7 linked regions of the Mus musculus genome follow. The protein of the gene in region 2 purifies or fractionates together with the protein of the main gene of each other region. This does not show direct contact. Links are inferred from orthologs where the notes say so. Each region holds a gene or a part of one and is shown on either strand. Other genes may lie near its edges.

What was found.
Region 1: the proteins of Dhx9 (region 2) and Elavl1 purify together in Homo sapiens (affinity purification with mass spectrometry; 3 studies listed by BioGRID and IntAct, with this or other methods). This does not show direct contact. The link is inferred for Mus musculus from reciprocal best matches to the Homo sapiens genes DHX9 and ELAVL1.
Region 3: the proteins of Dhx9 (region 2) and Ncl purify together in Homo sapiens (affinity purification with western blotting; 3 studies listed by BioGRID, with this or other methods). This does not show direct contact. The link is inferred for Mus musculus from reciprocal best matches to the Homo sapiens genes DHX9 and NCL.
Region 4: the proteins of Dhx9 (region 2) and Hnrnpa0 purify together in Homo sapiens (affinity purification with mass spectrometry; 3 studies listed by BioGRID and IntAct, with this or other methods). This does not show direct contact. The link is inferred for Mus musculus from reciprocal best matches to the Homo sapiens genes DHX9 and HNRNPA0.
Region 5: the proteins of Dhx9 (region 2) and Ewsr1 purify together in Homo sapiens (affinity purification with mass spectrometry; 3 studies listed by BioGRID, with this or other methods). This does not show direct contact. The link is inferred for Mus musculus from reciprocal best matches to the Homo sapiens genes DHX9 and EWSR1.
Region 6: the proteins of Dhx9 (region 2) and Pabpn1 purify together in Homo sapiens (affinity purification with mass spectrometry; 4 studies listed by BioGRID and IntAct, with this or other methods). This does not show direct contact. The link is inferred for Mus musculus from reciprocal best matches to the Homo sapiens genes DHX9 and PABPN1.
Region 7: the proteins of Dhx9 (region 2) and Ddx17 fractionate together in Homo sapiens (co-fractionation; 3 studies listed by BioGRID and IntAct, with this or other methods). This does not show direct contact. The link is inferred for Mus musculus from reciprocal best matches to the Homo sapiens genes DHX9 and DDX17.

The regions. Positions count from the first base shown.
Region 1 is NC_000074.6:4,321,991-4,326,582, forward strand, and holds the start of Elavl1 (ELAV-like protein 1), read right to left. Parts: upstream 3,111-4,592; 5' UTR 2,896-3,110; intron 843-2,895; exon of another isoform or gene 713-842; intron 1-712. Other genes in the region: Ccl25 (C-C motif chemokine 25), read left to right, coding at 3,392-3,421. UniProt on the Homo sapiens protein: RNA-binding protein that binds to the 3'-UTR region of mRNAs and increases their stability.
Region 2 is NC_000067.6:153,470,456-153,474,494, reverse strand, and holds part of Dhx9 (ATP-dependent RNA helicase A), read left to right. Parts: intron 1-1,211; coding exon 1,212-1,348; intron 1,349-1,733; coding exon 1,734-1,823; intron 1,824-1,932; coding exon 1,933-2,094; intron 2,095-2,191; coding exon 2,192-2,269; intron 2,270-2,683; coding exon 2,684-2,875; intron 2,876-4,039. UniProt on the Homo sapiens protein: Multifunctional ATP-dependent nucleic acid helicase that unwinds DNA and RNA in a 3' to 5' direction and that plays important roles in many processes, such as DNA replication, transcriptional activation, post-transcriptional RNA regulation, mRNA translation and RNA-mediated gene silencing.
Region 3 is NC_000067.6:86,352,519-86,356,557, reverse strand, and holds part of Ncl (nucleolin), read left to right. Parts: coding exon 1-2; intron 3-100; coding exon 101-187; intron 188-230; exon of another isoform or gene 231-298; intron 299-364; coding exon 365-506; intron 507-1,413; coding exon 1,414-1,538; intron 1,539-2,702; coding exon 2,703-2,826; intron 2,827-3,277; coding exon 3,278-3,432; intron 3,433-3,924; coding exon 3,925-4,039. UniProt on the Homo sapiens protein: Nucleolin is the major nucleolar protein of growing eukaryotic cells. It is found associated with intranucleolar chromatin and pre-ribosomal particles. It induces chromatin decondensation by binding to histone H1.
Region 4 is NC_000079.6:58,125,331-58,129,860, forward strand, and holds Hnrnpa0 (heterogeneous nuclear ribonucleoprotein A0), read right to left. Parts: upstream 3,227-4,530; 5' UTR 2,984-3,226; coding exon 2,066-2,983; 3' UTR 549-2,065; downstream 1-548. UniProt on the Homo sapiens protein: mRNA-binding component of ribonucleosomes. Specifically binds AU-rich element (ARE)-containing mRNAs. Involved in post-transcriptional regulation of cytokines mRNAs.
Region 5 is NC_000077.6:5,069,117-5,072,610, forward strand, and holds the end of Ewsr1 (RNA-binding protein EWS), read right to left. Parts: intron 2,527-3,494; coding exon 2,404-2,526; intron 2,043-2,403; coding exon 1,880-2,042; intron 1,608-1,879; coding exon 1,510-1,607; intron 1,365-1,509; coding exon 1,112-1,364; intron 1,006-1,111; coding exon of another isoform or gene 988-1,005; coding exon 948-987; 3' UTR 571-947; downstream 1-570. UniProt on the Homo sapiens protein: Binds to ssRNA containing the consensus sequence 5'-AGGUAA-3'. Might normally function as a transcriptional repressor. EWS-fusion-proteins (EFPS) may play a role in the tumorigenic process.
Region 6 is NC_000080.6:54,892,615-54,897,080, forward strand, and holds the start of Pabpn1 (polyadenylate-binding protein 2), read left to right. Parts: upstream 1-1,528; 5' UTR 1,529-1,541; coding exon 1,542-1,880; intron 1,881-2,233; coding exon 2,234-2,348; intron 2,349-3,014; coding exon 3,015-3,082; intron 3,083-3,202; coding exon 3,203-3,309; intron 3,310-4,337; coding exon 4,338-4,425; intron 4,426-4,466.
Region 7 is NC_000081.6:79,540,156-79,544,194, forward strand, and holds part of Ddx17 (probable ATP-dependent RNA helicase DDX17), read right to left. Parts: intron 3,702-4,039; coding exon 3,551-3,701; intron 2,432-3,550; coding exon 2,332-2,431; intron 1,013-2,331; coding exon 879-1,012; intron 324-878; coding exon 258-323; intron 1-257. UniProt on the Homo sapiens protein: As an RNA helicase, unwinds RNA and alters RNA structures through ATP binding and hydrolysis.

The sequences.
Region 1 (4,592 bases), on a different chromosome or scaffold from region 2:
TTCTCAAGTTCTCTGTGGCCACTCATCTTTGCAGCACTCAAACACTAGGCAGGGTTGGCCATCGTTGTTCTTCCACATGTCCAAATTCCTTAAGTGTGTTTCAGTGTTTCCTTGTTTCTAAGCTTCTGTTCTGTGTCATATTAGCAGTTTTTCTAACTTGAAGGAACACAGTCACATCCTAACTGGTTTTATGCCTGCCAGTCAGCGCATCCTTTGCAAATGTGACTCCCTCTGTCAATGATCATAAGTCTGGAGTGGGCCCTCATAATATCTGAGGTTTCTTCCCAACAGACCTGCTACTCACTTCCTTCTACGTTTCCAAAAGTTCCATACCCCGTATGTTTTCCAGAGTTAATAGCTCCACCTACTCCACTCACCAAGTTCTTGAAGAGTCTTTCCCACTCATCTTTTACCTAGCTATTTCCACTAGGTCCTCCTGCCTCAACAACTCAGGGAACATTTTGGGGTCTCCTGGGCTTGAATAACAGTTCCTTTTCCTGTGCTTCCACATCACCTGGTGCATTACTGCTCACCAGCCAGGCTAAACCATCTAAACATAGTTCATATACACCATGGCCTCTCCAGAGCTGATCCTCTGGGCTGAAATACAACTTTGGGGAAGGGGACAAAAGGCTTACTTCCCTCTTGTTGGTCTTTCTCCATAGAACTACTGCCACCTAGGGGCAAAAGGCCGGCACTGCATCTCACTCACCATTCTGCATTTAACCAGCTTGAACACACTGAAGGTGATGGGAACACCAATCATTCTGGAGGAAGTGGAAAAGCCTTGGCATTTGGGGGCAGCTTCAAATGGTGTTTGTGCTCTGAGCTGGTCCACACAGCTTTCCAGGAAAAGAGCAGAAAGGTCAGAAAAGCGCATAGTGGGACATCCCAAACTAAGGGCTTCTGATTTTAATGTTTAGAACCATTTGAACAGCCCAGCATAATTTTTCTTTTCATGCCCCAAGACTTCTTTTAATCAGGAGAAACATAGATCTGCATCTTCGAAAAGTCAACTCCTGCTGGTGTGCAAAGGACGGAGAGAAGCGGTGTGAGAAGCCACTGCGTAAGCACAGGAATGGGTATGTTCTTCAGTCTCTCCCTTTCTACTGCTGCCCAGGGACCTATCCCTGAACACAGCCAAACTGAAGTTGTTTCCCTCAAACCAGCACTTCAACAGAAACATTTCCTATTTCTCTCAGCTTCTTCACACTCCTTGAAGTCACAGCATTAAGAAAATATTTTTAGATTTATGTGTGTTTTGTTTGTATGGGAACCACATGTATGCTTGATGTTCTGCAAAGTCAGAAGAGGGAATGGGATCCTTTGGAACTGGAGTTATGGATGGCTGTGAGCCATCATGTAGGTGCGAGGAACTGAACACAGGTCCTCTGCAAGAGTAACAAGTGCTCCTGTTCACTGAGCCGCCTCTCCAGCCTCACACCATTTTCAAAACCAGACCTCAACAGTTTTGCATACACCAGTATTCAATATGTTGGCGGTATCTAGGACTTGCTTTCAAACCCTGCATTGGCCACTACAGTGCAAGAGATTATCCTGTTTCACTTTCTTCTCTAAAATGGATACTGTAACATCTACCTTAGGGGCTGGGGACATGCCCGTGAAGTATGAACACATGGTCCATTGTTGAAAGATTCTGGTGATTATTTTAACTGCATATTCCATGTGTACTGGGGGTTTCCTCACATCTTTACATCTGCACAATACTTTCCCCATGCTATTTCACAGGCATTTCAATACGGCTTATTCAAGATCTTAGGTGCTTCACCCAGATCATCGGATAGGGCTGGAAGAACTTTTCCAGGAAGACTGCTTAAAGATTTCTCACCTCTCTGTGTATGTGTTTTGGTGGAGGGAAAAAAACGAGAGAAAGAACCCTAGCAACGCCTCAATGTGTTTTTGGTACTCACAACTGGAAGAAGTAGGAGGCAGAGATGCTAATACTCAGTAGGCAGAAGAAGCCAGGCATGCTATCCAACTTTCTGCAATGCATAGGGCAGCCAGGCCCTCCCAACCAACCATTATCTGACTCTAACTGCCTGTAACAAGGAGGTTAAGAAAGCTTTAACATCCGATCTTGCCTCTTCTAGAGCTCTGGCCAGCGGTGTCCCACATGGACACTTCCGATAATGGAAGCTCTGTCTAGTGCAAAAAAGTTCTCCACCTGCTCTCCACATAGTAGGCGTCAAACCCATTTTGGCATGCTTTAGCAGCAGAAGACAAGAGAAAGGGAAGATCCATCATCACTACCCATTGTTCAACAGCGTGCAATTGCCTTTTTAATATTTACACGTTATTTTACAAATGAAAACGTCCCTAAAACAGCTTTGTTAGAGATGGCGATCAAAGAAAAAATTTCCCCTTTCTCTTCTAGACTTCTACACACAGACGAAAGGTTTGCACACTTCTAAAAGGACCTCATGATTCGTCGCGGTGTGTCCAGAAAATCGTCCACAAAAGAAATCTATGGGATTTCCCGAGGGAGCAAGTCTGTGGGCCATGACCTCTGGCGCCCAAGGTCCTCGCTCCACTCTTCCACCCCCGGATCACCGGGCCTCCGAGATCAACTATCCGGGGCCCCCCAAGCCTCGGAGCCCGGCCCCCCAAAGCGCGTGCCCACGCTGTGTCCTTCTCCCGCCTCTCTCGCGGGAGCCCAGAGGAATCTGGCCCGGCGGAGGCTTGTCGCCAACCTGAATCAAACAGAGTCGGTTCCCATTCGCCCAGCCGCGGCCCACACGCGCGTCTCCATACCCAGGCCTACCGCGGCCTGGGGCCTTCGGCCGGTGCAGGCCCGGCGGACGCCCGTGGGGCTAGGCGAGCTCAGGCCCTAGCGCGGCCTACTCTTTCGGAAGTCGCCGAAGCCTCCGGCCTCACCTGAACACGGGCGGGAAGGCCCGGGACTCTGCTCCGGGGCGGGCGGCGCGGCGATAACGGCTCCGCACGGCCTCGGCAGCGGTGGCGGCGGCGGCGGCGGCGGCAGAGCGGTAGCGGTAGCGGTAGCGGCGACGGCGACGGCGACGGCGACGGCGACGGCGACGGCTGCGGCTCCTCCTCAGCGCGCACGACCCGCTCCCCGGCCCCGCGGCCCAGACACGCCCCCTGCTCAGCGCGCTCTGCTATTGGTCAGTGTCTTTGAAGAAGCGACGCTCATTGGTTGGCATGGCTGTCGCGGTACGCGGGTGCGCGCGGCGTAGGCGGGACTTCCTGTCGGCGTCGTCCGCGGTGGACCAAGGCGCCCAGTGGAGTCGCGAAGTGGCTGGCGATGGCCGCGGAGAGGGTGAGTTGGAGCCTGGCCCGCAGTGGACGCCGTCTGGACGTCGAGGCCAAAGAGTGGCGCTCTTTATAGAACGCACGTCGTGTGATCCTCACAATGCGGGCTGTGCAGCCGCTTACGTCCAGAGAAAGCAAGTTGGTCATCGGGAGCCCTCGCTAGGAGGACAGGATCCCCGATTCGAATCCCGGCCCGGACATTTCCGGTCTGCCTGCAGTTGAGCACCGGCTGACGTCACTGAGCCGGGCCTCAGTTTTGTTATCTGGTGAAGCGGGTTAAAGGATGTGGTCAGCATGGTCAGCCTCTGGGAATCTAAAGTTAAAATTTCTTGGTTTTAAGATTTTTCTTAGTGTGTATGCATGGGTGTTCAGCCTGCATGTATGTTAACCCTGTGCACCATATGCGTGTAGTGCAGATGGGAGTCAGAGAGAAGGTCGGATCCTCCGGGGGACTATTGTTAACTGCGTTTGGGAGCCGACTACTGAACCCATGTCTTCTGTAAAAGCAGCCAGTGATCTTAATTGCTGAGCCATCTTTCCAGCCCCACTTCCTTCGAAATTTAAAATGCCTACTATGTGCCAGGCAGTCGGGCAGTGACCAGAAAAACAACTGCCTGTGCCTTTTGGAGGCTGCTGTTCTGGACTAGTGCTATCAGAAACGTATATGCCACCCTGTTTGATTGAAAACTTCTCTATTGTCTCTACCTCTGTCCACCGTTTTTTAGCGTGTTTGTTTTCTTTTAGTCGGGATCTTCCTAAGTAGTCCTGGCTTGGAACTTATAAATCACGCTGACCATTGCCTCATAGAGATCTGCCTGCCTCTGTTTCCTGATTGCTGGGGTTTAGGGTGATGTTTCATATGATCCAGGTTGGCCTTAAACTTTCTGTGTAACGAAGGATGTCAGTGAAATGATCCTTTTGCTTTCATCTCCCAAGTTCTAGGATTACAGGCCTGCAACACAGCCGCTGCGTGTAGGTAACCTTTTAAAAGTAGTTCTACAGGATTTGAAAAAAAGTTATATTCAAAATTTTTATATTATGTATGTATTTGTTTGTATGTATGTACGTGTTTTTAAAGGATGGTGTTTGTGTATATGTGTATAATATGTATATATTATAATATGCATGTGTTTGTGTGACCATCTATGTGAGAGTCAAAGGGTTACTTGGAGGCGTCAGTTCTTCCGTCATAAGAGATATGGGGGTTGAACTCAGGTTTACACTCAGCAACCAATGTCTGTTCAGCTGAGTCATCTTTATAGCCTGCGATGTCCTTTGTAAAAAAAAAAATATTTATTCAC
Region 2 (4,039 bases):
GGGGTTGATCCCAAGTACCACATAAGCTAGGTAAGGAGGTGCAGACCTAGCACTGGGAGATGATGCAGAAGAATCAGAAAAGTCTGTCCAGAATGAGGGTAGCAATACAGAATATGTGAGACCCTCTCTGTAACAACAACCAAAAACAAAACAAAAAAAACCCACTTGTTGGAGGCTATTGCTGTGGTTACCTGAGACACACTCAACCAAACAGAAACCATGAGATCATTAACCCTGAGAAAACATAGAATAGATGATATCCATGTTAGATGATAGGCTTATATTCTTTTTATTGAACACTAAGATTAAGACCTATCAGGTATGTTAGGATACAATAGGCTCTGTACCTGTTTTACTGACAGACTTTAATTTGTACCATATATAACAGTGGCTCAATTCATTTGATCAGGAGAGTTAGAAGAAGGTTCTGAAATACTTTGTAAAGAATTCTGCAACTTAACAAAAATACTTATATTTAGTCTATGGAAAACTTTGCTGTATAATTTGTAGTCGGTAGTTTTCACTTGTTTTTTATTTTGAATCAGCTCCTCACCATGTAGCTCTGACTTGTGTAGAACTGACATTTTGTGTTCAGTCTGTTTTTACTTTGATACTTTAAAGCATACTGAAGTAGTTGTGACAGACTAATGGACTTGTAAGTAAGGCTTTTTTTATAAACCTTGCTCTCATTAAAAGTTGTTTTGGAACCCTGGGCTCACATAATCTTAAACTTCAGAGTTAATTAAGTAGAAATATCTTAAATCTAAGCAGTGACTGTATATTCAATTTTGTCTTATACTTGTTTTCAGTTTTTTAAATTAATTTAATGACATGCAAGTAATGAGAGTTTAGTGGCTAGAGAGATGGCACAGAGGTTAAGAGCCCACTGGATGCTCTTCAAGAGGTCCTGAGTTCAATTGCCAGCAACTACATGGTGGTGCACAACCATTTATAATGTGATCTGGTCCCCATTTCTTGGCCTACATGCATATATTCAGGGAGAATACTGCATACATAATCTTTTTTAAAATGTCAATATTGTGCCAGTCTTTATCAAAATGATTAGTTGTTAGGTTGTAGAATTTTCTTTGGTTAGTGAATAGAATGGGAAGGTCTGTGCTATAATTTATATTAATGGTTCTTTAGTACATAAATATCTAGTTGTTACGGTTCTTTACACAGCTCATTTCTGTCTTTGGTAATCTTTATAGGGATTTTCGCACGTGAACATGGATCTAATAAGAAATTAGCAGCACAGTCATGTGCCCTCTCACTTGTCCGACAGCTCTATCATCTTGGAGTGATTGAGGCTTACTCTGGGCTTACAAAGAAGAAAGAAGGAGAGAGAGTAAGTTCTTAGGCATAAATGTAGTATTTGGCTAAAGGAGTTGAATTTATAGTTTGAGGGATGAGTTGGAAGAGGGGCATTATTAGAATGGGGATGGAAATTAGGGTTTTTAAATGCCAGACAAATAATGTTTTTTTCTGAGCTATATTCTGAGCTCAGCACTTAGTGATGACGAAATTTAAATGCTGTACTAATCAGTATTCTGAACTCGTGCTTATAGTGGCCATTGAGTGAGTTGTTGATGAAATTCTCACTTAGAGTTGTTGGTTTCTGGCAATTAGTAATAATAGCCCTAATGTCAGCTATATGTTAATTTAGGTGAAATTATTAGTTTTAAATTATAATAGTGGATATATTGATGATTTTCTTTACTCATTCTTTGTAGGTGGAGCCTTACAAAGTTTTCCTTTCTCCAGATTTGGAGCTTCAGCTGCAAAATGTGGTTCAAGAGCTAGATCTTGAAATTGTGCCCCCAGTAAGCATATATACAGCTTTGTAGTTTACCTTGTTTTAGAGTCTTTCCTTAGGAGCATATCTCCTTTATTTATTTTTGCTTTTTTTGTTTGTTTGTTTGTTTTAAATAGCCTGTTGATCCTTCTATGCCAGTTATACTTAACATTGGGAAATTGGCTCATTTTGAACCATCTCAGAGACAAAATGCAGTGGGAGTGGTTCCTTGGTCACCTCCACAATCCAACTGGAATCCTTGGACAAGTAGCAACATTGATGAGGGACCCCTTGCTTATGTAAGTGCAATATGGGTTCTAAGATCAGTTCTTTATTTTCCTTTGCATCTTTCTTTAGGTCAGAGTTAAATAGATTTTGTTTGCTTTCTTTTTACAGGCTTCTACAGAACAAATAAGCATGGACCTTAAGAATGAATTAACATACCAGATGGAACAAGATCATAATTTACAAAGTGTGAGTGTTGAAGATCTTATACATAAATTGTCTAGAGCTTAAATACATTGTAGTTAGATTGAATGACAGGTTTGTACCAAATTGGTAATTATAGTTAGGATAGTGGCTATTCAGGACCTATGAGTGAATTGGACTACTTTCTTGGTTTTTCAGTATTAGGTGGTTTGAATACTTTTACAGCAAATGTAAAGTGATAACATTGTTTAACAAGTCATTACAAAATGGAAAATACTTTTATACTGTTTATGAAGGCTTAAGAATGAACTGGAGTATGAAGATCACATTTTATAGAAATTTTAGTGGGAATCAATTTTTATTAGAAAACGATGTTTTTATTCTTTGAAATACTTCAAGTACAGAAAGCAGTACTTTTTTATGGAAATGATTTAAATGACTTAAACTTTGCTGAACCAGGTGTTACAAGAGAGAGAGTTGCTGCCTGTGAAGAAATTTGAAGCTGAAATTCTGGAAGCCATTAGTTCAAATTCAGTTGTGATTATCCGAGGGGCTACTGGTTGTGGTAAAACCACACAAGTTCCACAGTACATTTTGGATGACTTTATCCAGAATGACAGAGCAGCCGAATGCAATATTGTTGTGACACAGGTAAGTCATTGTGTGAGTTTGTCTTGGAGTTTATAGAGTTCTAGCAATTGTTTGAGATTTTATGGTCAAGTAAGTTTTCAAGATTGTTAAAACGCAAACACACTCTCCTACCCACAACCCCTTGGGGATTTGACCTAAAAAGCCTTGAACATGCTGGACATACACCCTTAAGAATGAGTTGTAGCATTCACTTTTCTAAATTTCTTTTCCTTTTTATTTTAAGTTTATTTAATTTAAGTATGTGAATACACTGTCAACTATATTCAGACACAAGAGGGCATCTGACCCCGTTACACAGATGGTAGTGAGCCACCATTTATTTGGTTTCTGGGAATTGAACTCAGGCCTTCTGGAAGAACAGTCAATGCTCTTAACCGTGGAGCTATCTCCAACCCACTGTTTCTAATTTCAAAGGAAGATTTCATAAAATTGGCTATTCAAGTCCCATAAGAACTTTTTAAACTGCTCAGGATTAGGGGGTGGGGGCAGTAGTTACTAGGAGTATTGATTATCAAGTTAAACTGTTGGTTGTAACCCTGAACAAACCATTTATGACTTGGGAGTGTAATGAACCTTATTTTGTGTGCATTTACAAAGGGTATTTCTGCATTGGTAGTATATATCATGCACTTAGTTGCTTTATTTGTAAGTGCACACAAATTTGGATTTAGCAGGAAACTTGTAGGGCAGTGTTACTCTGCATTTAACTATGAATGCACATTTTATTTAAAGTATATTAACAGCTTAAAGTGTAAATAAAGCAGTCTTCATTCAGCCATCAAAATGGTATGTGGGAATTGTTTAGCAACACTTGAGTTCATCTTAGGCTTAGACTATGAAGTATAAATGTGGGCTTGCAGAAAGAACATTAGATAGCCAGACATGTTTTGCCTGTGAAAGAGAAGACATTAAATCCAAGAATGTAAAAGAGAACAACTTCTTTACAGTAAGATAAATGAATATTACGCCTACATTTCTGCATAAACACCTGTATGTGTGTGCAAGGTTGACATTCTTGAGCATGCTCACTTAGAGATTTATTTTAAAACATTCAAAAATGTTGGGCTGGAACATCTTAGGGGAAGAAATTGACTGTTAGAATGGTCAGAATTTTAAGTAGATTATTAGAGGGGCTGATAAATCTTAACTATAGTTAGTTGCTGT
Region 3 (4,039 bases), about 67 Mb from region 2:
AGGTAACCATATTAACTTTTAAAGTATGCTGACCTAAGTAAGGCTTACTGGCTATGCTAAAGTGTCTGCTTACTCATGAATGGCATTTTAAAACATCTAGAACCTGTTAAAGCAGCACCTGGAAAACGGAAGAAGGAGATGACCAAGCAGAAAGAAGCCCCTGAAGCCAAGAAACAGAAAGTAGAAGGTAAGCCTGCAAAACTGGGGAAACAGATCAGAGTAGCACTAGCACAAGTGATGAGTGACAAAGGGACTTAATACTGAACCATGGGGTTGAAATGAAATATGCTGATGTGCTTTATAGTTTATGATGAAATTTGTTGTGTGCTTAAGTGGGCTGAAAGTTCATTTTTTGTGTGTGCAGGCTCAGAACCAACTACACCTTTCAATCTGTTCATTGGAAACCTTAATCCAAACAAGTCTGTTAATGAATTAAAATTTGCCATCAGTGAACTTTTTGCTAAAAATGATCTTGCTGTTGTGGATGTCAGAACTGGTACAAATAGGTAAGTTTTAATTGAATGTTACATGTGTATCAGCTAGAATTTTTACTTTCCAGTTGTATTCTTCCCTGCCTTTAAACATGGGGCTATATCTAACTATGTTAGTAAAAGTCAGTTGTCTCCTCTCGTGGCCTTAAGTACAGTTAAGGAGCTGCAGTAAGAAAGACTATAGTATTGAACTAAATCATCGAGTCATAGGGCCTGCAATTTGAAGTTCCTGTGTTTGACTTGATAAAGATAAAATAAAATTTAAAGAAGAAAAGATATTAAACACATAAAATTTTGTGCAGTATCTACAACTATGGATCTGCATAGTCATATGCTTTTAGCTAAAAGTATTCTCTGTACTTTTAGCGGGGTCCATGCTAGCTACTGCTGTTAGTTACAATATACTGAATGAAGAAATCGAGGTGAATTTGTTGTAATGTCTTGGTACATGGACTTGTTTTGTTTTTTGTTTTTTTTTCTTTAAGATTTGTTTATGTATATGAGCACACTGTAGCTGTCCAGATGGTTTTGAGCCTTCATGTGGTTGTTGGGAATTGAATTTTTAGGATCTCAGCTCGCTCTGCTCTCAGTCCTTGCTTGCTCTGGCCCAAAGATTTATTTGTTGTTATACATAAGTACACTGTAGCTGACTTAAGATGCATCAGAAGAGGGCATTAGGTCTCATTATGGGTGGTGGTGAGCCACCATGTGGTTGCTGGGATTTGAACTCAGGACCTTCAGAAGAGCAGTCAATGTGCTTACCCGCTGAGCCATCTCTCCAGCCTTTGGACTTGGTTTTATGGAAGATAAGGGTGATCTAGTTTTATTTTTGTTAGTGCTGTAGATGCTCTGTGTGTGTGCCACATGGTATAAGTGCAGATCACCTTCTCATACCTGTAATCTTGTTTTTTCCATCTTCAAGGAAATTTGGTTATGTGGACTTTGAGTCTGCTGAAGACCTAGAAAAGGCCTTGGAGCTCACTGGTTTAAAAGTGTTTGGCAATGAAATTAAACTAGAAAAACCAAAAGGAAGAGATAGTAAGAAAGGTATGTAAGGGGGTCTGGGTGACTGGATACTAACAGACTTAGGCAGTCTGGTGCCTCTTCCTTAGTTTCATCCTCATTGTGAACCAATGAGATGTCATAGGTCATGTGCTTGTTGACAGGTTTGATTCCTGGGATATATAATGTCAGGGCTGACAGGAGGAATAGCTTAGTGAGTAAAGATGCTTGCTGCAAAATGTTTGATCTCTAGAAGCCACATGAAGAGAGAAGAACCTTTAATCCCAGCATTTGGGAGACAGAGGCAGGCAGATTTCAGAGTTCGAGGCCAGCCTGGTCTACAGAGTGAGTTCCAGGACATCCAGGGCTACACAGAGAAACCCTGTCTCGGAAAAAAAGTTTTAGCTTATCCTCTGACCACATGTGTATCGTGACATGCTTGAAGCTTACGTATCTCTTAAATGAATTCTTGATCCCTATATTTTGAGTTTCAGAATTTGGATTTTAAGTGTTTGTTTCTTAGTTGTGCTGAAAATTGAACGTGGGCTTTTCACATGCTAGGCAAATTTGTTGGGTTTTTTTGTTTGTTTTTTTCTCAAGACAGGGTTTTTCTGTGTAGCCCTGGCTGTCCTGGAGACCAAGCTAGCCTTGAACTCAGAAATCTGCCTGCCTCCCAAGTGCTGGGATTAAAGGCGTGAGTCACCACTGCCCTGCTAGGCAATCACTCTTAAAACTGCTACATATCCTCTGTCCCCTTTTGCTCATTTTACAAGGTTGCTGTGTGCTCAATCTGCAGTCTATGTTATATGCTTACTGGATCTAGGCTTTTGATGTAGAATGAACCATATGAGTGATGAGGTATCTTAGAGATGGAAACTAAGTCTAAATAGACTTGTTCCATATACAACTTAATACATATGGTCTAAGGAACATGATATACATGTAAACAAGTAGGAAGGAGATAAGTCTGGTGTCCAGGGAAGCCAGGAGAGCCTCATCTGAAACTGGACAGGGGTTTGTGAGTCATCAGGTGACAATTGAACATGGGTACTCTTCATGCAAATGGTTAGTAACCATTGAGCCACCTCTCCATCCCTTTATACCATTTTTTTTTTTTAGCATATATCCTTGTACTTTATAGGAATTATTTGCTTTATTCTCTTGTGACTTGTAAATTGATGTACTTAATTAAATCTTTTTCCAACATAGTTCGAGCTGCAAGAACACTTCTAGCCAAAAACCTCTCTTTCAACATCACTGAGGATGAATTAAAGGAAGTGTTTGAAGACGCCATGGAGATCAGATTAGTCAGCCAGGATGGGAAAAGTAAAGGGTATGTTTTGTGTCTTTGAGTGTTAAAGTTTTATTAAGTTTAGTGTCTTCTTCCCCTCTCCTTGTCCTTGACAGTCTCTAGTCTGCTGCTTCAAACTTAACTTCATAACCAGAAAATTGAATATCTGGTCCTCTGGCCTCTACCTCCCAAGTTCTGACATTAAAAATGCTCAACTGATGGGTTTTGAAGCTGTGATCAATTTTACAGGCTCAATCCAAATTGGCATCTTTTGCCACAAGTACTATCCTTCCCTATTTTATGAGAGAAATGTGATTCTAGGCAGTTCAGTCTATTGTGTTGGCTCTTTTTCCTCCTCACCAGTTTAAAGGATGAAGATGAGCTAATACATAGTAAAAGAACAGTAAAAGCACATGTGACTAAGTCCTTCATGACTGATGCTTGAGTAATATTTTCTCTAACGTAGTAACTGAATTGTCTTGTACTCTTTCAGGATTGCTTATATTGAATTTAAGTCTGAAGCTGATGCAGAGAAAAATTTGGAAGAAAAGCAGGGGGCAGAAATTGATGGACGATCTGTTTCACTCTACTATACTGGAGAGAAAGGTCAAAGGCAAGAGAGAACTGGAAAGACCAGCACTTGGAGTGGTAAGTTAAAGGGTTTATTGTGTAGTGGGAACAGGAATCATTTGTATCTTTGTATTTTAAGTAATTGGTTACCTACAATTAGTTCACCTTTGTTCATATAGCTGATGTTTAGTCTTCATGAGTGAAAGCTATTTGAAATCATTTCCTTTGGAGTATAGTAGGCAAATAAAGCTTTTTGTTGGGTATGTTTTCTACTTTAAATGGCTTAAACTATTTTAGAAAATAGTGTAAGACAACAAAGAACAGTTATCTAATTAGAATGAAAATGAAAGGAGCAAAGAAGGCATTACTGTATATAATGGATATACACTGGTGGTTCTAGAATTATGGTATATGGTACATGGTTGAAGTGCCATTGTTTCAGTTAACATTCCAGTAACCTTGTGGATTAGGTTGGAGACATGCTTTATAGGTGACCCACTTACTGAGTGTTTAAATATACACAGACATACTCTAACATACCTTGCTAATGTGTTATCTTTGTATTTGCAGGTGAATCAAAGACTTTGGTTTTAAGTAACCTTTCCTACAGTGCAACAAAAGAAACTCTTGAGGAAGTATTTGAGAAAGCAACTTTTATCAAAGTGCCCCAGAACCCACATGGCAA
Region 4 (4,530 bases), on a different chromosome or scaffold from region 2:
TCAGTCTTCATCCAAAATAACCGGGGAAAGTCTGAGGTAACATGTAATGAGTTTTAGGTCTTTTCCTGTATCCTAGAGGGACCCCCCCCCCCCACCAAAGCCTGCATTAGATCTTCAAGTGTAGTTTCAAGCAGGAATTTAAGGGAAGCAAGCAATTGTGAGCAAAGAACTTCATCCAACTTTTTTTCTTCCACAGCAAACACACCCCTATACAGTGTTAAATACATGACCCAAACATCAGCTATCACTCACTACACTTACCAAACTAGCCAAACATAAATCCTCTTACCTCTTTAAGAACCTTAGTACTTACAATATTTTGGCAAGAATCAGATCTTAGGAATTATTCAGTGACAACTTAAAATGTGGGGTTCCAACATTAAAATATTTTAAAAGGTAAAAAGAAAAATCTTTTCTGAAAAGCTTGATGCCATTAGGCTTTAGGCTTCCAAAATCCGAGTCAAATTTTTACCATCTCGTCAAACCCAGTAAGATAGCAGGTACTCTGAGCCCACCCACCAGGTTATACATACTCTCACTCAATCATGTAAGAATTGAATTCTTTATTTGTGATATCCATAAACGTTGCTATTCTATGTTTCTATCCAGGAAGGCATTTTCTTCTATTATCAGTTTTTGTTTTTTTTTTATAAACAACAACTTGAATTCTATTGCATGAAGGGCTACAAATACACGTTAACCAAGCAGAATACAGATATTTTGTTTTACAACTTGCACCTAAAACCCCAGTACACACAGCTGCTTCAGTAGCTACCGGAGCAGTTTGGGGCTACTGCCCAAGCTATGCATAGCAGTTTACATGTTCAAATCTCACGTAGAAAAAGTGACTGATGCGGGCTGTTAACTACACTCCCGGGAAGCCCGTCTCAGCTACAAGTAAATGTGGACCTTTCAAGTCTGCAGAATTCTGATGGCAAACTGCTAAATCTGATGAAATTGTCCTGAACAAGTAAGTTGGGTTTTTCTTAACCAACCGTCTTGCAGCTATACTGCCACTCTACCAGCAGATGGTGCTACATCCGTTGGACTTAAAAGAGGACAAAGTTCAGACTTAGGGAAGAAACGCTTTTTTTAAACCTGCTCTGAAAATACATTTAAAAAAAACTCATTTAGTGTTAGGGTAAAATAGAACCCTTATTTGTAACCATTCATTACAGACAAACCAATAAGGAAGAAACTAGGTCACCTAAAAAAGTTTTAAACAGTTTATATGAATGAGAACACATGCTTTAAACACAAACTATTTTTTTTAAACTACACAGTACATGTTTTGAAGTAAATTCTCATAGAAAGAACCAACCATGTCAAGATGATAAGCAAATCGCTTATTACAAAGAGATGGATGCACAGGACTAAACAGCCACATCCACCACTTCAGAAAGATTTTGTCTGTAAAAGGTAAATTCAACATCACTAACTGGGCAAACAGGAAGGGGAAAAAAAAAAAAAAAGAGCCCACAAGACCTCCTTTAAGCGTCTCGAAGTACACATCAAAACCTAACAAAAATATCCTTTAAAACGGTAAGGAGTGGATCCTAGGAAAAAAAAAATGTTAGACATGTACGGTCAAACACAATGATTTATTAAAAATAAAACGTAAAAATGATTTTTGTACATATGCTTCCAAATTCCAGGCATGGGATCCAAGTAGGTTTCATAGAAAACGCTGTAGCCAGGTATCAAGTCCTTACAACAAAGTAAACTACCCTCCCGCCCAACCCCCACCCAGGTGTTGCTACAGAATCAGCAAGTTCACTCCCGCCCGCCCACCCGCCCCCCCAAAAAACACAAATTAAAACAAGACATTTTTTTGCTAGTATAAAAACGACCAAGGTCCAAGTAATAATAAAAAAATAGAGTCCATCAATGACTGTAACACAAAAATGTGTGTGTGTGGGGCCGAGTCCACCTTCAGGGGGGGTAACGGGCAGGCAAGCGGGGGGTGTCGTGCCCCCCAGGGTGAGCGGCTTCCCCCGAGGGCACCTGGGGCGGGCGCGGAGGGCGACGATGGCCGCGCCCGCCGCCGGCATCCGGAACCCGGCTTCTAGAACGAGCCTCCGCCGTAGCCGCCGCCGTAGCCGCCTCTGTACGGTCCACTGTTGCTGCGGCCGCCCCAGCTGCCGCCGCCGCCGCCGCCTCCGCCGCTCTTCATCGGCCCGTACGAGGACTGGTGCTGGCTGTAGCTGCCGAAGCCGCCGAAGCCGTTGCCGTAGTCGCTGCCGCCGTATGAGCCGCCGCCGCCGCCACCGCCCCCGTAGGCGCCGTAGCCCCCGTAGCCGCCGTAGCTGTTGTAGCCGCCGCCGCCGCCACCGCCGCCCTTGGCCAGCCCGTTCTGGTCTCGGCCGCCGCCGCCGCCTCCGCCGCCGCGGCCCCGGCCTCCGCCGCGCCCGCCCCGGGCCGCCCGCGCACCCCCGCCGCCCGCGTGGATATCCTCCTTGGGCACCGCCTTCTTCACCTCCACGCGGTGGCCCTGGATCGGGTGGAACTTGACCACCGCGGCCTTGTCGGCCGCGTCGTGGCTCTGGAAGTAGACGAAGCCGAAGCCGCGCTTCTTGCCCGACTGCTTGTCGGCAATGATCTCCGCCTTCTCCACCGCGCCGAACTGCGAGAAGTGCTCGATCAGGTCGCCCTCCGCCACGTCGCCCTTGAGGCCGCCCACGAACAGCTTCTTCACCTTGGCGTGCGCCCCGGGCCGCGCCGAATCCTCCCGCGACACGGCGCGCTTCAGCTCCACCGTGTTGCCGTCCACCGCGTGCGGCGACGCGGCCATGGCGGCATCCGCCTCCTCCACGTTCGAGTAGGTCACGAAGCCGAAGCAGCGGGAGCGCTTCGTCTGGGGGTTCACCACCACCACGCAGTCCGTCAGCGTCCCGAAGGCCTCGAAGTGGCCGCGCAGCCCCGACTCACTCGTCTGCACATTGAGGCCGCCGATGAACAGCTTACAGAGCTGCGAGTTCTCCATGTCGGCCGCCCGGGCCCTGCCCCCGCCCTGCGCGCTCCGCCGCGTCGCCGTCGCCCGTTAGCGGTCGCCGAGGCCTCGTCCGAGCCCGGGCCCGGCCGCCGCCGCCACCGCCGGCGGGGAAGGGGCGGGAGGGGGAGGGAAGGGGCGCGCTGCCGGCCCGAGGGCGAGCCGAGGACGCTGGAACCCGACCGGGGCCGCCGCGGCCGCCACCTCCGCTCCCCTATCGGGACACCACACAAAGAGGCCGCTGAAGGCGCGCGCACCCTCCCCGCGCGGTGCGTCACAAGCGACGCCGGGACGCCGGCCAATCGCCTGGCCGCTCGCCTTGGTCCCGCCCACCGCGCCGCAGCGCCGCTCTCGGTCGCGGCCTCCCCGCCCTCCGCGGTTTCCCCACCACCCCGGTCCGGGCCTGGGGCTCCTCGGCGACCGCCGCTCCTTCCGCCTCCGCGCTCGCACTCGACGCGGGGCCGCGGGGCCGCGGGGCCCGGGAGACCGCCCGCCAGAGCCCTCCGCGCGTCTCCGTGGAGCGTTTCCTGGCGACCGCGCGGCTGTTCCCGCAGTCGTCCCTCCCTCCCTCCCCTCGCCGGATGCCCAGGCCCAGCTCCGCAGTGGCGTTCGCGCCAGCCCCTTGAGGGACGTGACCTGCCGGCCAATCAGCGGCTGCTCCTCAGACCCACTTCCGTTTTCCGCTGCCGCGGGACGGGCGCGCTCCTCTCGAGCACTGGCCCGGCGCCTCCCGTGCGGAACCCTCTGTCGCCCGCACGCTTCGTCCTCGCGGGAATTCTGGCCGTTCCCAACGGATCAGCCCGGGTGGCCCCCGCGCGGACTTTTTAAAAACTTGACTGTTGGGGGCCGGCCCGCACCCGGCGTCGGCTCCCCTAGGGGCGGCACAAAGATGGAGGGCCTCGGCCTGACCCCAAGGCGGTTATTGGCCGTTTACGGTGGGCTGGTGGCTCCATTAATCCAATGCGACTCTTGCCCCGTGCCACTCTGCCCGCCGAAGCAAGCCCATGAGAGGGAACACCACCAAAGCCCTTGAGACCGGGTAACCCAGACCAGGCCCGAGCCAGGCCTGCGGTAGCCGCTGGCGATGCTCCGCCCTGTGAACTCAGCAGCGAGCTCCTGCGGACATGTTCCTTGCGAGCCACGCAGGATTTATTCGGCCCCATCCTTACACTGCTAGCCTTGAGCCAGGCTGACCTCGAACTCCCAAGCACTAGATTATAAGCATGCCCTATGAGATTTCCTATTTTTATTGCCTTCTCACCGCCATCCCAACTGTGGTTTGGGAATTAAACCCAGGGGACTTAACTAGAGTTGGAGCAGTGTCCCCCGACACGTCCTATCCCCATTCTGTCCCGTTACTTCTCATCTCCCTCATCTGGTGCACCCCTGTGACCTGCAGCCAGCAGCTTCTACTGGGCTGCCAGCTTCGTGAATATGAACAGCCATTTTGCCAACTTTATCCATATAACTAGATTTTAAAAAAAAACTGTCAGGGACTGTGCTTAGTGTTCACGGATAAGATCTCAATTTCTACAGTGTCT
Region 5 (3,494 bases), on a different chromosome or scaffold from region 2:
GGGCCCACTCTGTGAGGCTAACCTGGTCTACAGAGCAAGTTCCAGGACAACAGAGATTACAAAGAAAAGCCCTCTTAAAAAACAAAAAATAAACTGGGCAGTGGTGGCTCATGCCTTTAATCCCAGCAATTGGGAGGCAGAGGCAGGCGGATCTCTGAGTTCGAGGCCAGCCTGGCCTACAGAGTGAGTTCCAGGACAGCCAGGGCTACACAGAGGTTTCTGTCTCGAAAAGACCAAATAAATAAATGAGCTGGGTGGGAAAGCCCCATTTTGAAGTCCGGAAGAAGGCAGCAAAGGACTAGAGTGACCACTTGGCACTGCAGAGGACACGATCAGGTCTGCTATCCCAGCAAAGGCACAGGGCGATCCTGTGAATTCAGATAGTGGGAGTTGGAATGATGATAAGTCATCTCAGAGCCTTCTGGAAGGGAACAAATGACCCAGTAAAGCCAAGAGCTGGAGATGCGAGCACAGGTTTCCAGTGGGCATCTTCGAGGGCATCACAAGCTTCTGCTCCCATCTAGCGAGGGCTGGAAAGAACTGGACATACACGAGAACAGAGGAGGAGGATGACAGTTTATAAACATTTGGAATTTTATTTAAAAAAAAAAATCACAACCATGAACATTGTTACAATTAGAGGCCCTCTTGGTTCTCCACAATGATACTGAGCATGCTCACAAGGGGTTCCCATTGTTAAGTCTTAAAACAACCATCTTAAAAAGGAAAAAAAAAAGAACAAATCAAAAAACAACAACAACAAAAAAAAACTCAGCACACTACTATTTAACTTGTTTTAATGTTTCTTCACAAATGGTGAAAATACTAAAGTACAGACAAGGAATAATCATAATGTTGTCGCCAACATTATAAATATGGAATTATAAATTTAAAACATTTTCTGGTTTAAAAAATAAATCTGGTCGTCAATGCAGCTCTGCAGGTCTCTAGTAGGGCCGGTCTCTGCGTTCCTGACGGTGCTCGCCTCTGCAAAGCAAAGGGACCCTTAGGTCAAAATGAGAAAGGACAGAAAACCCTGTGAGAGACCCCAGACACCCCAGGACTCACTGCAGCAGAGGTTGGGAAGGGGCAGTGCTCTCCCACCACATACTTATCCATTTTCCCAGGTCCTCCACGTCCGCCTCTTCTTCCTCCCATCTGTTCCATTAAAGGTCCAGGAGGCCCCCCAGGACCACCTCGTCTTCCTCCACCAAAGCCACCTCGGTCCATTCCACGGCCACCTCGGAAGCCTCCTCTGTCTCCACCTCTGCCACCTCTGAACATTCCTCCAGGACCACCACGGTCCATGAGTCCTCCTCTTCCTCCTCGCATGCCACCAGGGCCACCTCGTCCACGATCACCACCTAAGGCAGAGACAAGAGTGACAGGTGAGTCAGGAGTAAAAGCCGAGACTGAAGACCTGCTGTGGTAGATCTGCTAATCCTTCTCCTAGAGCAGACACTACTCAATCACCAGGAAGCTGAAGTGCTCCAGAAAACCTGTACCTACCCGGAGGTGGAAAGGGTGGCGGGAGGAAGCCCTCGGGCTTAGGGGCCTTACACTGGTTGCATTCTGTTCTCCAAGCGAAGTTCTGGTTTCCACAGCCCCTGAATAAAGTTATATCACAATAGAAATCACCAAGAGAACTGAGAAAGGTGGAGATTCACACCACACTCTACACAGTTATGGAGTTTCAGGCACAAAGCACAAGGACCTGCAGACAACCCCAGGCCGTCCTGAACCTCCAGAAGCAGTCAGTGCTGAGTGTGTGTCCCCCCCCCCCCCCCCCCCCCCGTCCCGTCCCGTCCCGTCCCGTCCCGTCCCAGAGTGGGAAGAGGGTGTCATCACTAGCACGCAATCTGCTGGGAGAAGTACATACGGATTGGGACACTGCCAGTCTCCAGCTCGGTGCTGGACATTTCCTCCTCCAGAGGGGTTTCCTCTGGAGCCTCGGGGCCCTCTTGGAGGGAAGCCCCCTCTGTCTCCTCCACGGCCTCCCATGCGACCCATGGGTCCTCCAGGGCCTCCTGGGCCACCAGGACCTGCAATAACAAACAGTTCATCACCTCTCTATAGCAGCTTTGTCATGGTGCCCTCTCCTGTAAACTCACAGTGCTATCCACACACTATTCTTTCTGCGTCATTTCATGTAGCCTCCAACTATGGCATTTTCATAGAAGGAAATTGACATCTGGGCAGATGTTCTCTAGAGCTTCCACTCCCTCTAACTAGTTAACCCATATTATTAATGCAGTGTTGGCTTTCAATGGCCTAGTATCAATTTTACATACCTTTTCTTTGTTTATTATTCAACTAAGTTTCTCAAGGGAAAAAAACCAAAACCAACCCAACCCAACCCCGTTTAACATAACAGCACAATAGCTAAAACAAAGTGCCTAATACCTCCACGAAGTGGTGGTGGCATCCCCCTGCCCTCACGAGGTGGCATGCCTCCCCGCATGCTGTTCATTGGAGGCTTCTTTCGGGCAAGAGACACTTTAAGTTTGCTTCCTTGAAAATCTTTCCCTGGAAAAAGATTAGAGAGCATCAGTGAGCCTCACACTCCAAACATCCCTCTCTGAGCAGTCACTTTTCAGCAGACTCCACCTTACTCAACTCCAGACTTCCCGAAGCATGAAACCTGGCCCCTCACAACCTCCAGGCTCTTTCCTGGTCTGGCTGGGAAAGTATCACAGTTGGTAGGCTTGTTTAACACGGCCAAAGGCTTGGGTTCAATCCCCAGCACCACATAAAACCGAGCATGGCAGCCAATTAGCCTAGGACTATAATCTCCACATTTGGGAAGCAGCAGTAGACTGGAGGATCAGGAAGCTCAAAGGTCAGTACTAGCTACAGATGGAGTTTGAGTCAGCCTGGACTACATGAGATTCTTACACAAGCAGAAAGAAAATGAAACAAACAAAACAACTTCACTGCTGAGATGAGAATAAAAGATGTTAAACTACATTCCTGTAATTCTAGAATTTTGCAGGACTGTCAGGTTTAAAAATCAGCCTGCCCACATAATAAAATCTTTACTTAAAAAACATCAGCCGGGCGTGGTGGCGCACCTCTGCAACCAGGCAGAGGCAGGCGGATTTCTGAGTTCGAGGCCAGCCTGGTCTACAGAGTGAGTTCCAGGACAGTCAGGGCTATACAGAGAAACCCTGTCTCAAAAAAACAAAACCAACCAAACAAAAACCAAACACCAAAAAAACAAACAAACAAAAAAAGCAAAAACCATCAAAGGCCCAGGGATAAAACTCAGTGGTAGAGCACTTGTATAGCACACAACTCTCATGGTGCCATCCATTCCTGTTATGTGTCTTTGGAAGGGGTTTCTGCCCTTACTATGTATGGCATGCTCAGACAAGTACCTGCAGCAGAGGCATGGGGGCTATGCACTCAAACACATAATAAAGAACTATCCTGACCAAGGGCCAATGTCTGTGAGCTTTAACAATAGAAGGGCACACTGTGAGCAACCTGCTCCT
Region 6 (4,466 bases), on a different chromosome or scaffold from region 2:
AATTGGCTGGAATCGGTGTAAGGTTCTTTGGAACGCATTTGGTGCCTGACTTCGGTGATCAACTTCAGTTCAGATGGATCCGCAGCAAGAGTGCGACTCTGCTTCCAGCTCCCAAGCTTCTGAGGTAAGGCCTGCAACTGTGGGGTCAATCAGCTGTGCTTCCGACTTTGCTTTTGCCCCACTCCCCTGGTGCGACCAAGTTAGCCATTTTGATTGTGCTTGTATGAATCTATCCCTCAGACTTGTAGTTTGGTCTGTCTACAAAAAGTCCGTCCTCTTGCAGATTTAGCACTACTGTTCTTTAATTTTTATAAATGTGTGGAATTTCTTCTGGAGTGTGGGTATCATACTATCGTCTCCAGGGCCAGATCTCATGGTTATTTGAAGGTGCAGAGCTGTCTTGAGAATTTGCATGGAGAATTTCCCCCAGTGGTCTTCAAAGTGGTTTGGAAGCTAGGAAATTACACCTAGAAGTTGCAGTCACCCAATAATCACACAAATTTGCGGATAGAAATATAAACAGGACTTGGCCCCTTGTCTGCGGGCACTCTGCTTAGCTAGGAAGGAGCACAGAACGGTTAAGAGTGCAGTGGAAATAGGCCCACTTGTCTCAAGATAAAATGGGAAACCTGGTGGAAGGCATTCTCACTGAGGTGGTCTGGTTTAGGAGAAACTGCACATATGGGACTAAAGCTGTGAACCTCGGGTAAACCGGGGAAAGTGTGGAGACCATACTTGCAAACTAGCCCTAAGTAAGGAATTTTTGACACGTCAGCTGGCCAAGAAAAAGAGGGTGTTGTAATAAGTTAGGCAAGAAAACTGGCTGAATCTTAGTCTAAAACAATAACCTATGCAGAACAACGGGACACAACTCCTAGTGGGAGTGAGGTTTGCTGATCCTTACTTTTTTTTTATTTTTGAGGTTACTTTTCTATGTAGTGTTGACTGGCCTGGGAACTCATTCTGTAAGTAGTCTAGTTTTGAACTCACAGAAATCTACTTGCCTCCGCTTTCTGAGCGCTGGTATTAAAGGCGTACGCCACCACACTCCGCCTAGGAATTCCCTAGTTTTAAGCCAGGCCATCCTTTCGAGAGCAAGGTTCACCTGTCGCACAACGGGTGTCTGCCCGTCGAATCCCATAAGCCAATCGGCATCCAAGAATGGGCCACTTCGGTGAGGCGTTTGGAAGATTGGTCCTTTTCGCCTCACCAGTCAGAGGCCAATTGCGGAGCATCCTCCATGTTGTGGGCCCGCCCATGGGTGGAGGATGAACGGAAGGTCGTCACAGTGCGGGCGTATTGTTACCTAAGGACTCAACAGGAGGTGGGGTGTGTTGATTGACAGGCATATTTCACCTACCGGGTTTAGAGAATTTGGCACAGTGGCCCGCCTTAGAGGTGGGGCCTCGTTTGATTGCCAAGTAGAATTCCCCAATAGTATTCGAGCTCGGGGTAACGGGCAGGCTGACTGACTAATGAATCCTCGGCGTGGCCGGCTCAGTTCTCCAATCGCCGATCGGCGGGCCCCAGTCTGAGCGGCGATGGCGGCGGCGGCGGCGGCGGCAGCAGCAGCGGGGGCTGCGGGCGGTCGGGGCTCCGGGCCGGGGCGGCGGCGCCATCTTGTGCCCGGGGCCGGTGGGGAGGCCGGGGAGGGGGACCCGGGGGGCGCAGGGGACTACGGGAACGGCCTGGAGTCTGAGGAGCTGGAGCCTGGGGAGCTGCTGCCGGAGCCCGAGCCCGAAGAGGAGCCGCCCCGGCCCCGCGCCCCTCCGGGAGCTCCGGGTCCTGGGCCCGGCTCGGGAGCCCCCGGCAGTCAGGAGGAGGAGGAAGAGCCGGGACTGGTTGAGGCCGACCCCGGCGACGGCGCCATTGAGGACCCGGTGAGGGGAGGAGGGCGAGCGAGCGGGCCGGGTCATGGGAGGCCCAGAGCACGGACAGGAGGCAGGCAGGCGGGGGGTGGGGTTGGGCGGGGAATAACGTGGCTGGTGGCGGGCCGAGGCCGTTCGTGAGCGGCCTGGTGGGGCATCATGGGTGTCTAGGGTGGCTCTAGAGAAGGTAAATTGACTCTTTTCATTTTTTCTGCGTGTTTTTTTTAAATAATATTTTTTATTTCAATCACGACCCTCGCACGAGGCGAGGGAAATGGCCGAGCACGGCTGTGGCCGGGCCCAGACAAAATGTACGGCACAGCCCCTGCGTCTGGTTAACTGCATGCCCTGCTCATTCATTGTAGGAGCTAGAAGCGATCAAAGCTCGAGTCAGGGAGATGGAGGAAGAGGCTGAGAAGCTAAAGGAGCTACAAAACGAGGTAGAGAAGCAGATGAATATGAGTCCACCCCCAGGCAATGGTGAGTAGATCGCCTCATGCACGCACAGTCCGGATCTTTGGTTGATAGGGTAGTGGGGGAAGACTGCAGCGTGGCAGAAGCCGGGGACCTTGAATGAAGCTGCTCGTCTGAGCAATTTTTTCTGGGCAGGTGCTGTGGTCATAGTCCATTACGTGTTCTACTGACCTTTGTTAGACACAAGCCGTTTTGGTGAAGAGATAGTCTTGTGCCTTCCTTTGTCTCATTTATAAATGTGTTTCTCTTTGTTCTTAGTTTGTCTGTACCCTTCTTGGGGCGATTATCAGCTGGCATTTGACCTTCAAGTCTTAACACTTTTCAGTTGGAGACCCTTTAGTTAGGACTTAGGAACTGACTGGTGGCTGTAAGGGAGGGAGTTCTTTAAAAATGTTAGATTTCAGTCCATTCTGTTTTGTTTGCTTTGAGGCATTTCAGCTAAAGCTGAATAGAGACTCGACTTGAAAAACGTAAAATCTTAACACCGTTTTTTATGGTCTTTTAAGAGGTAGTTTCTCTAATGTATATTGAAACCTACTATGTGCTAAACACTGTTATAGGTAATTGGTATAGTAGAAGTATACCCAAAATTTAGCCTGCGGGTGGAAGTGTGTGTGTATTGATCGAGCAGAAGATGTGCTTGCCTAAGGTAATTTTTTTCCCCTCTAAAAGCTGGCCCAGTGATCATGTCTCTTGAGGAGAAGATGGAGGCTGATGCCCGCTCTATCTACGTTGGCAATGTATGTATCAAGGAATAGTCTGCTTTGGGTTTTGGGGGGGACTTTTGTTTCTTATTCCTTACTTTGTTATGTGTTCAAATTGGAGTTTCCCCAGTACTTGTCAAGTGTTCCTTTCCTTAGGTGGACTATGGTGCAACAGCAGAAGAGCTGGAAGCCCATTTTCATGGCTGTGGTTCAGTCAACCGTGTTACTATACTCTGTGACAAATTTAGTGGCCATCCCAAAGGGTAAGTAGGAGGATAAGTTGAGATCATTTTACTCACATTTTAAAAATACGTGAAAAATACATGAGCTCGGAATCGAACCTAGGACCTTGAACATGCTGATGTGTGCTGTCAATCTAGTCAAAAGAGTGTTAACTCGTTTTAAAGGTTCTTATATATGTGGTCGGTTGGTTTTGTTTTCAAGTCAGAGTTTCTCTGTTTAACCCTGGCTGTACTGGAATTACCTCTATAGACCAGGCTGGCCTTAAACTCAGAATTAAACTGGGATTAGACTTCAGGTTTATACCACCATGACTGGCCTAACTTGAGCTGGGCGTGGTGGTGCACGCCTTTAATCCCAGCACTTGGGAGACAGAGGCAGGGATTTCTGAGGCCAGCCTGGTCTACAAAGTGAGTTCCAGGACAGCCAGGGTTACACAGAGAAACCCTGTCTCAAAAAAACAACAAAACCAAAAAAAAACATTTCCCAAAGAATAGTAATTGCTTATTAAAACAAGTAGGTTTTGCCTGTTAAGTGTCTCTATATATCAGTAGTTGTATATTAAATGCCTTCAGAGACCAGGTAATAAACTAAAGACTGGGCAGGGGTGGGATTGTAAACTAGAAAGGGAGGGCAGCATTAGTCAGCACCAGCTGTTTGTGTATGGCTATATAGAAATCTGGGTCTTGTTGATTTAATTTTGGTGCTACTGGAGACTGAACCTTTGGACTTAGAATGTGTGCTAGGCAGGTCCTCTTACTGAGGCATGTCATACACTCACACCTTTTCAAACTTTTTATTGTGAAATGGGTTCTCTTAAGTGGCCCAGGTTGGTCTTAGCAGCTCTGTAGCTTGCACAGACCATGAACTTAGGTTCCCCTGTCTCAGCCTACTGAGAAGCTGGGATTATAAACTGTTCATTATACTCAATAATGTTTAGAAGTTTTTAAAATGTTAGCATACTATACTTCCAGTTAACTGTATTACAAGTTGGGTTTAACCTGTAAGCTCTTTGTAAAGTCTGATAAAATGGCCAGATTATTCTTTCCAGGTTTGCATATATAGAGTTCTCGGACAAAGAGTCAGTGAGGACGTCCCTGGCCTTAGATGAGTCCCTGTTCAGAGGAAGACAAATCAAGGTAAGCATAGTGCCCTGGCTATCCGTCCTGTACAGAGTCTC
Region 7 (4,039 bases), on a different chromosome or scaffold from region 2:
ACCAGATCACAAACAGAAAAGAGCAAGAATGCCTCAAATTCGTATTTTTTTGCTGCACAATTTTGGGCAATTCATTTAATTCCAAATAAGACAGGCCAGTACCACCTCTACATAGGGAGAAAAGTGGTGAGAACTGAATAAGGGCAGGGTCTGGAGAGATGACCCATAAAAAAAGAATTAACTTGGGCACAGTGCATAAAATGCAACCATCATTAAAAATGGCTATTCTGAAAAATTACAAGTGGTAACACACTTACAATTGGACCATCTCCTCTTTCCAAGTATGGCTGGTGGTTTATATGAACAATCGCAGGCAGCAAATACTGGGGAGGAATGAGAATCAACAATGTCATACAAACCTAGGCCATTAGGCTAACAGGTACAAGCTAGTCAGTCATTAACAATGCCCTAATGGGAAAGGGGAAAATAGAACAATTACCATACTCCAGGGCTGAAATTTTTTGTTTTTTTCTTTGGAGACAGTGTTTCACTATGTAGCACTCTCTGGCCATCCTGGAACTCACTCCATAGACCAAGCTGGTTCCAGAGAGCAGTGCACCTGCCTCTGCCTCCCTAGTGCTAGGATTAAAAGTAGGTCTCACCATGCCCTGCTTGCTCACAGTGCTTTAACTACAAGTTTAAGAACTAAGGAAATGTGAGGCAGGCATGGTGGCACGCCTTTAATCCAGCACTTGGAAGGGGGCAGGGGTAGGTGGTTCTGAGCTCAAGGCTACCCTGGTCTACAGAGCAACAGCCAGAAGTACACAGAGAAACCCTGTCTCGGGAGAAAACAACCAACCAAAACCCCCCAAGAACTGAGAAAATGTAAGTCAACTAGGACAACAAAAGGAGTTATATGTCAAATACTTGGTACCTACCGCCAATGTCTTCCCAGAGCCAGTCTGTGCAATGCCAACCATATCCCTGCCACTAAGAGCCAAAGGAAATCCCTGGCACTGAATGGGAGTGGGTTCTGTAAAGTGCTGATCCATCAGCACATCCATCACATACTCTGTAAGAAAGTGAACACATTACTATCTTTACTAGTAAACTAAGGGTACATATGAAGTCAGTCTGTCTGTCTGTCTGTCTGTCTCTCTCTCTCTCTCTCTCCCTCTCCCTCTCCCTCTCCCTCTCCCTCTCCCTCTCCCTCTCTCTCTCTCTCTCTCTCTCTCTCTCTCTCTCTCTCTCTCTCTTTTCCCCCCCGAGACAGGTTTTCTCTGTGTAACCCTGGCTGTCCTGGAACTTACTCTGTAGACCAGGCTGGCCTCGAACTCAGAGATCCACCTGCCTCTGACTCCCAAGTGATGGGATTAAAGGTGTGCACCACCACGTCCCGCTATATGAAGTCTTAAAAAGTAGCAGTTACTGATGGTAAGACTTAATTTGCTTTATTATTCTCAGAGAACTGTAAACCCAATCTCTGGCCAGCCTGACACTACCCAACACTATCCTAACACAACAGGTCATGGCTCATTTACTGTTCCCAAAGTTCCTACTATATCCTAGAAGCAATGTTCTGCTGTAGTTTAAAATGCTAGGGCAAAATACTAGTAAAAGTTTTGGCATTAAAAACAAAGCAGAGGCTGAGGAGATAGAGTGCTTGCTGCTCCTGCAGAGAACCCAAGATCTACCAACTGCCTGGAATTCCAACTTCAGATAATATGATGCCTTCTTCTGAACTCCGCAGGAACCTCACTCCATAGAAATAATCTTTTAAAACACAAAAATTTGTGCAACATGATATCTATCAATACTAATAATCACCATTCTAAAACATTGGGAATATAGAAAATTACTATTCAAAGCCAGGTGTGGTGGCACACAACTTTAATCCTAGCACTTGGGGTGCAGAGGCAGGTAGATCTTTGAGCTCCAGGACAGTCTGATCTACATAGTGAGTCTTTTATCTTAAAAAATAGAAACAAAATAATAAGTTTTTTGGACTTTATTATCTTGGTTGTGTGCCAGTATCCATCTATGTCCTTTTTTTCATGTTTATTTGGTTTCCAAAATTTGAACTCAAGTAGTTCAAACACTCTTACCCACCTGACTGGCTCCATCTAAATTACTATCTTTTTCTCCCTCTTCTTCTTCTTTAAAAAAAAAAAAAAAAGACTCCGTTCTCTGTGTAGCCCTAGCTGTCCTGGAACTCGGGAAATCTGCCTGCCTCTGCCTCCTGAGTGCTGGGATCTAAGGCATGTATGTACTGCCACCACCAACTGGCTACTATCTTTCTATATAAAAGTTTCTATTTGTCTTTTAGACAAAATCCTAAGCCTTTCAAAACCTTTATGCACCTTACGTAATACAGGATTAAACAGCACTTACGTGGAAAGTTAGCATGATGGAAGGCAAAGACAGGTTTTGGACAAACATCTCCCCCTCTCACTGTAATCTCTTTCTTACGCCGTAGCTCATCAACCTCATACTGTGTGAGAGAAGAATGAAGACAATAAGAATTCTCAATTTAGACTCTTTAGTATTGCAGTGATATAGGCTAATGCTTTTTGCATGAATCCAAGTTTGTGATGCACACGACTAAGAGGAGAAAACCCTCAAGAGTAATTCCTAGCCAGGCTAGGTGGTACTTTGTCACCCTGCACAGCAGCTAGAAGGATAACCTACCTCAAGTTCAAACCTAACCTGGGCTACAAAACAGGTTCCAGACCAGCCAGGGTTACCTATTGAGACAGAACTTGGGCCAAATTGCTCTATTATATCATTTTTTCTGGGTAAGTAATATTCTTTTTCTTTTCTTTTTTTTTTTTTTTTTTTTGGTTTTTCAAGACAGGGTTTCTCTGTGTAGCCCTGGCTGTCCTGGAATTCGCGCTTTGTAGACCAGGCTGGCCTCGAACTCAGAAATCCGCCTGCCTCTGCATCCTGAGTGCTGGGATTAAAGGCGTGCGCCACCACGCCCAGCGGTAAGTAATATTCTTGGGTAGAATACAGCACCAGGTGGTTTGGTTAAAAGCACACAAATACACAATATGAAGTCAGTTCTATAAGCGTAGGTGAATGGCAGTGTAAACTTTACATGCATGTGGTGCTAGGCTGGAGAGCAGAGCTGCTAAAAGAAAACCTGCGTCATGTGGCTGAGCACCTGTCTTCATGGACAAAGCTCAGGGTTTGACCAAGTGTGGCTGCCCAAAGACCCCTGCAGCCTGGAGCTAAAGTAGCAGGACAGCAAGTTCAAGACCAGCCTGGATCTACAGTGGACTATTCTACAAATACAATAATTCCATCCTACAAAAGACACAGAGGCAAGGCATGGTGATGCAATTCTTTAGTCCTAGTACTCAGGAGACAGATGCAGAGTGATCTCTGAGCTGGAGGCCAGCCTGGTCTACAAAGCGAGTTCCAGGACATCAAAGGAACACACAAGAGAAACCCTGTCTCAGAAAACAAACAAAGAAATACCCCCACAAAAAAACAAAACAAGCAAACCCACAACACATTAAAAAGATCTGCCATAATATAAAATCAAATATAAAACAATACTTGAAATATTACCCTATATTTAAACACTCCCCCCTCCCCCCTTTCTTACCGGAGTCAGTCTTGCTACTTCTGGATGCTCAACATAAAAATTCTTCTCAAATTTAGGGAGTTCACTCAAATCCCACTTCTTTTTTCGTAACCGCTCCCCAGGATTACCAAACTTCTTAGGGGGAAGCCCACTACCACCTCTTGCTCCAAACCTAGAGACACCAGAAAATGTAGATTTGTTAATATCCATCTCATGTGACAGGAAAGGAACAGCATTCCTCCCACCTCAGTTTCCCACCTATTTTAGCTCTCTGACAAAGTTAGTGATACCGACTTTATACTAAGTATAGTTTTAATTGGCACTAGAGATTCTGGATACAATAAAAACTAACGGTCTCTGCTCTTGCAGAGAAGTGGTACTCTTTTAAACTGCAAGACCAAGACTGTGGACATCGAAAAAAATGTACTTCAAGCAAGTCCTTCAAATTTACAACAGCTTCTTAGCCAATTTCCCCACTTATGCTGGGGGCAAAAACTTCTCTGCTACTCT